2 linked regions of the Cricetulus griseus genome follow. The protein of the gene in region 1 purifies or fractionates together with the protein of each later gene. This does not show direct contact. Links are inferred from orthologs where the notes say so. Each region holds a gene or a part of one and is shown on either strand. Other genes may lie near its edges.

Region 1 (3,651 bases):
AGCCCTGTGAATTTATTGTTACTGTGGAAAGACACAAACATGTTTGCCTACATTTCTGGAATAATACACTCATAGCACTGGGTAAGGCGTATGATTCCAGGTGGTCTGAGACCTGTAAAAATCAAAACTATGAAGCTTCCAGAAGAAAGCAGTATCTGCATAGCACTAGAGAAGGCAGAGACTACTTAGAACAGAAATGGTAACAACTTACAAGTAATAAGCTGGATTTCTTCAGAACCAGAATCTGTCCTCATCACAGTTACTAAGTGGGTACCACGGTGTCAATATGCTTGTCTGATGAGACCCTGAGGCAGAACACAGATGGAATCTTGCAGATGCACACCAGGACAAACCAAAGAGAACACAACAGGCACCATGCTTCACAACACAGGCACAAGTTCTCTAAGGGCCAGGCATTCCGGCAAGAAAGGCACTCAGACACTTCAGCTATTGGAAAGGTGCAGATGAAAACGTAAGGGGCAGCACTAATGCTGACATTAATTAAGTGTCAGCAAAGTCCAAACTCTTAGGGCAGGTACCCAGCTAAGAAGTGTCAAAGACACACACCTGCTTGAAGAATGCCTTGGTGGTTCCTGCCTGCTCTGTCAAGTCACTCCACTTCTGGTTAAATTAAAGAAAAACAGTGTCACATGTCACAAAGAGGCATGTCTACACTTGTTTACAGCAGCTTCATCTGTCCAGTGGCTAAACAGATCAATAGAATCCTGTTCAACATGAAGAACTTCCGAGCAAGACAGGTATGTGGAGAAGACCTGAAACCTTATGTCTGTTGAAGGAGCACAGACCCAGGGTCCCTGCCCTGTGGTTCCATTTCACCAGGACTGATGAACCTAGCAAGCTGTGCCAGACAGAGCACAAAGACCACAGGCAGAGAGGGCTTGCTGGAAACAGTACAGGGCTGTCTCAGACAGAAATACATTCTATACTCTCATGAAAGAAGCAGAGTATGTTTCAGTTATAAGAGGAAAAGAAGGCAGGCAGGCATTATGGGTGTAGAGTCCAATAGCCAGGGAAAGTAGCTGGCACATCCATTACAGAACCAAAACTTACAGCCCACACTGCCTATGTGGCCTCACTGATGAACCAAGAACTAATCACCATATTCCACACAGGAGACAGCCTCAACAGGTAGCAGAAGAGAAGAGCAGGAGATACAGGGACACTGGGACACGTGCCCATCTCCCTTCCAGAGTGTGTGGAAACCAGCCTCAGACCTGTACTGTAGTTGGTAGACAGCAATTACATATGAATAGGGGGTCCTCAAGGTAGGTGTGACAACTCAGGAGCCCTTGCTGTGTCCCGAGGGGACAAAATTCACCCTCCTTGCTTGTATAGACTGTACACTCACACACAAGTATGTTTACATGTATAATCATGTCTGTGTCATCTACATCATCCACATTGGATATATGTCACCATCCGTGTATCCTGAGCCCTAGGGAGCTTTGGGATGGCTACAGTAAACAGCTTGACACAGCAGAAGGAACAGCAGGCCAATAGGTAGTGGCAGCTACATGGTATACTGGACAAACTGGCATTGCAAGAGAGGGTACAAAAAGGACACGACTCAGGCCCTAAACACTAGTGATGAAAGCAGAGGCAGATGGAGACCAAACAAACTGCCCGAGGGCAAGATCTGAGGGTGGAGATGCTCTGACCACCCAGACCTGCCCAGCAATACCCTTTATGCCTTATTCCACCCATGCTTATCTTTCTTCCATCCTTCAACACGTCTTGGCACTAGGACCCTGAGGTAGGAGGTGCTGTCTTGTCCTATACACTGGACAGGAAGGGCACATTCAGAACCATGGAGGGTCAAACAGCCCTGCTATGCATGTCCACTAGTACAGCAACAACCATATCCCAGGCCCACCTCTTCCTGTAACTAAGGTGACCTACACACACTTCCCATCTCTTGCTGCTGGCAGCAGGGCTAAGGCAGAAGCACAATGCAGCCAGGGTCAGCAAAGGGTAGGCTGCCTGGTAACAAGGGAGCCCTCAAAGGTGAACTCTAGCACAATTTACTGTGCCATCTCTATGGTACGCATAACAGATGGGTACCCACAAAAAGGTGATGGCTGTGAGAACAAGCCAGGGAGCATAGGAACCAATGATAACCTAAGCAAGGTAGAAACGGGCCTCGAGGTCATGCCCACTCAACTGCACCAGAGCTGTGGGGAGTGAGTGTGTATGCAACAACATTTGTATAGACTGTGCATATATCTAAGTGTGTCCATGTGTACACCATGTCTGTTTAATCCCCATGTGATGCATGTTACCATCCATGTATGATGTTCATTTGTACTCTTACGTGACCTCCATTGATGGCATCTGTAAGACACATAGCCTGGTGTCTCTGGCCCTGCCCCTGGACTACTTATCCTATATCTTATGCTGAGCTGGGGACAGCAACACAACCAGCAAGTCCATGGCCTCAGCTTTATGGAGTGGAAGGGTAGCAGATGGGCACAGGCTATCTGTGCTGAGTCACAGTGGCCAACGTACCTAGTCCAATGATGCCCAAGGTCTCTCCACGGATCCTGGCAGCTCCTGAAGCCACCTCTCGGATCTGCTCTACACTCTGGACCCGAGTGCCTTCCCGAAGTGCCTGATGCAGCCAGGTGGTTCGTCGGTATAGGTTCAGGATGTGGCACAGGGTGGAGTCTGCCGTCTCTTCCACAGATGCTGCGGGCACATTGCATACTGCGATGCCTACAAGATATGTGGCGACACATGTACCAGGTCCATAGCCTCCTGTCATCCACAGTCAGAGGTCCTACCCTCAGGGTGGTGCTACAGTAGTAATATGTCAGAGGACACGTCCCACAGCCACCTAGGAGACTACATGTCATTAGGCATACTTAAGCCTGTACCCACAGCCTTGCAGAACACAGATGTGGCAGCTAACAAGCAAACAGGACAGAGGACAGGCAAATGCTGCCTTGATCATTCCAAATGGTAGGGCCTTGCCCAGGGAGGGACAGGTCAGCCACCAAGGCTTTGGCCCCTGTGGCTTGCCAGGGCAGCATGAACCAACAGAACAAGACTGACTTTCCCAACACACTACTGAAGTGCTCAGCTGCCCTGTGGTTCCCAGACAGGTCAGCTCTAGCCTCTCTCTGTAGCCTTAAGGAGCAGAGTAGCAGAATGACGTCAACAACATACACTGTAGAGTGTAGCCTGGCTTTGTCAGCAGGCTACTAGCACAGAAAACAGGCTACCCTAGAATGGTAAAGTATGACTATGCTGTTTCAATATAAATACATGCACAGGTACAGATTTGTGCTCATGTGTGTACAGTCTGAGCACTTGTTGCTTCATGTGTATGTATGCATGGCTTTAGCACACATTCCCTTTGCTGTTATCTTAGGAGGAGGGCAATGATCTCCCCGACTGGCCCCTTGTCTCAACCAAACCCTAGGGCCTGGTAGGTTGGTGACAACACAATGAGTGAAGCTGTACCCACATCCTGTGCTGCCTGGCACAACCTGCCCTACCCATAGGCCCAAATCACCTTTCCATTCAAGGAGCAGTCCCAGCTCTACTGATTGTCTAATAGAGCCTGAAGGTTAAGTGAGACATCTTGGTCAATGGAAACAGGGACTTCAGAGCTCCTACCTAGATCCCCAG
Region 2 (3,231 bases), on another chromosome or scaffold:
ATACCAATGTTCTAAAAAAAAAAAAAAAAAAAAAAAAAAAAAAAAAAAAAAAAAAAAAAAAAAAACCAAAAACAAAACCAAAAACTCTTTATTCTAGAAGTGGCCTAGTGCAGTCAGACACTTTTCTGTTCTCCTAAGTCATCCTAAGTGTCTCCTTGATTTACACACTAATTTCAGCATCATACATTCATTTCTTTTTCTGAGATGGTATCTCATTCTTTCCGTAGGAGCTATAATACTGTTTTCCTGTTTGTATTTTTTTTTTTCTCTGCAGTAGCCCCATATTTTCTCCTTACAGGAGTTAGTTTTGGTCTCTGTACAAGTACAGAAAAGGAAAAGGAAAAAAAGTAGAAAAAAGTAAAAAACTTTGGTTCCATTGCCTACTTAGTCTGCTAAATGAACTCTGTTGGAGGGGCAGTTATTTCCCTCGGGTTGGCAAACAGCCTGGACCTCATCATTTGCCTCTGAATCCTTTTGCCTCCTTTGATCAACAATAAGAGGATATTTGGCTTCATCAGATAAAGCATAAAAGAAAATAATTTACCTTTGCATAATATCTTTGGTAATTTTAGAAATAAAAGGTACAAAGTATATAAATTAAGCTTCGAAAGGCTCTCCAACTAAACCCAAACAAAAAGCTACAGCCCTAGATAAATAAATGCCAGGGAAGTGGGTGCAGATGGAAGTGTGGAGGGGTTTGAAGGGCTGAGGGGTATACCGACCTAGAGCCATCGAATTCTGTGGGCCCTGGTCCCAGAAGCCTCAGTCTGTCTACTGGTGTCACCTGTTAAGTCTGTGCTACTCGGGTGGTGTGAGACTATCACACTGCAGGCTCAACTGCAGTGTAGACTCTGCATCCTGGAAACCAACACATCACCATCTACTGGGCTCAGTGCTCATTAGCTCCCATAATAAGTGCAAGGTGATGTCTCGTTTGCATTAAAATAGATGAGCGCCACCAAGCTGGTCTCAACCGATGCACAAACTCAGCACTATCACCATGTTGAGTAAAGTTAGTCAGGGAAGCTGGCTTTTTGGTCATTTTGCAAACAAAGCAACCCCTGCTGTTAAGGACGACACAGAATCTGTGGTCCTGGCCACTTGATTATAAGGGGGTGGGGGGGAGAGCCTTCCGTGGTCATCATGCCAGTCTAATTATTAAGGATTGTTTACTCTTGTCATCGTCTCCTCTTGGCTGTGTTTCCTGACGTTGAGAGAATGTGGCAGCAGTTACTCACAATGGCGGGCTCTATGAAAAGAAAAATCTCCAACATTCCCATCCCACCCCAATACTGCTTTTGTGAAATGAATCTGCTATGTTCCTAGAGTATGTGCGTGTGTTTCTCTCTCCTTTTCTGTCATTCGTTCTCTTTCTGGCAGGACACCATGTCCCTGTGAGAGGACCTTCAGGTGTAAGGTGCAGCCTTTGGGATCTTTTTTTTTTTTTTTAATTTTTGGAAAAAAAGACCAAAACGGAATGTTTTGTTTTGTTTTTTTAAACTTGAGAGAAACGTGGTGATGTCTATAGGAAAATGGAATGAGTGCCAGAAAACTACAGACGAGAAATGACATTCAGCTTTGTATAATAAAAACACCTATTAACATTCATCACAAGGTACAGAAAACGTGAAGCCTCCAAGAGGCCATGGGCCCAAATGGAGGCCTGAGGTCAGAACTTAAAATGGTATAGAAGAAGCAAAAAAAAAAAAAAAAAAAAAAAAAAAAAAAAAGCAATACATTAAAAAGTTTGGGATAATTATTTTTAACCCCTCCCCCCAATAAACACACAAAGGCCTTCCCCATCCCAACTGGAAGCAAAAACAAAAACAAAAACAAACAAACAAAAAGAAAACCAAAGTGAGTAAAGGCAGTGATATCAACATGCAGTGCTGTGCAAATAGGTCGTCCACTGGAATCTTGAATTCGGGCGAAGGCTTGGTCTGCGGCGCAGGTGCGCGAGCTCAGTCGGGTGTCCTCGGTGTCGGCCTTGGCAGGACAAAACTGCAGTTCAAAGTCTGCTGCTAAAAGTGAATCCGTTTATCGAATTTACAACACTGATGTTGACTCAAAGAGGAAAATCCCAAGTACCAAACAGGTCCATCCAATGCACAGAGTACAAATCCCTTTTGTCAACAAAAAGTAGAAAAATCAAAAATACTCCCAAATGGGATTCTTGATGGCACTAAGAGTTAACACATTTCAGAGTTGTCAAAATGTAGCGAAAAATCCTCCAGACTGTACAACAAGCGGAGAAAGGTTTCACTGCTAACTTTTGACGTGTTATTTTTTTTTTTAATTTGTTTTTGTTTTGCTTTTTTCCCAATCTTCTGTCTCAGGGGTCGGCCCGCCCAGAGGTTCACTCCATGTCCTCATTTACTGGTTCGTCTTCATAATCTCTGTCATGGTCAAAATCTGGACTGTGGTTGGCTGTTGTCACTAAGGACAGAGGCCCTTCCGCTTCCTCAGGGTCAAGGGGTTCCTCTTTGACGTGTACAGGGTGCCTACAGAGGGAGAGAGAAACAGGCTTAGAGGGCTTCTGGATTGATGTACATACAACTGGTGTTGGGGTAACTTAGAAGATGTATCCTATAGCAACAACACTATCCAGTAGAGGCAGAGTCACCCTGGCCACGTGTGTTTTTCAAATATGGTGGGAAACTTGCTATAACTTCATGTCTGTTGTCATTTTCACTGCCTACATCCCAAGGGTCTAGGGACCACATGTGTCCAGGGGCTTCTGGGCCACTCAATGAAAGATCTGGTGGACATCCCTGTTTTAGGAAGGATTCTGTACAGAAATTATTTCTCCTGCTTTTCAGGACGCATGAGTTACTGGAGGGCCTTGTGACGTACAGCGGATGGAGCTCAGACTCTGTGTTTCTAAGAGATTCCGGGTGATGGTGCTGGTCCTGGGACCACACTTCGGAGTGCCAAATAACAGGCCTCGTAGAGACATCCTGGGTGGATGAATGCCACCCTGCAAGTAATTACGTGAAACGGGAATCTGTAATACGGCAGTGGTTCATGGGGACCACTGAGCACAGGAGGCTGGCTGGGCTAATCATGACTCGCTGTGTGTTCTGCTCTGCTAGTTAACATGCAGACCCTGTGAAAGAACCCTCCAGAGGACGACCCCAAGCGAGGGTCTATCATTAATCAACTTCAAGCAAACACAGCAGAGAGACACCATGATACATGCTTGAAGCTCCAAATTAATGCATATTTTTACAA

The links. Proteins that work in one complex are often made in the same cells at the same time.
Region 2: the proteins of Ctbp1 (region 1) and Foxp1 purify together in Homo sapiens (affinity purification with western blotting; 3 studies listed by BioGRID and IntAct, with this or other methods). This does not show direct contact. The link is inferred for Cricetulus griseus from reciprocal best matches to the Homo sapiens genes CTBP1 and FOXP1.

The regions. Positions count from the first base shown.
Region 1 is NW_023276807.1:102,303,056-102,306,706, forward strand, and holds part of Ctbp1 (C-terminal-binding protein 1), read right to left. Parts: coding exon 3,640-3,651; intron 2,734-3,639; coding exon 2,527-2,733; intron 1-2,526. UniProt on the Homo sapiens protein: Corepressor targeting diverse transcription regulators such as GLIS2 or BCL6. Has dehydrogenase activity. Involved in controlling the equilibrium between tubular and stacked structures in the Golgi complex.
Region 2 is NC_048601.1:45,049,705-45,052,935, reverse strand, and holds part of Foxp1 (forkhead box protein P1), read right to left. Parts: intron 2,502-3,231; coding exon 2,357-2,501; 3' UTR 1-2,356. UniProt on the Homo sapiens protein: Transcriptional repressor. Can act with CTBP1 to synergistically repress transcription but CTPBP1 is not essential. Plays an important role in the specification and differentiation of lung epithelium.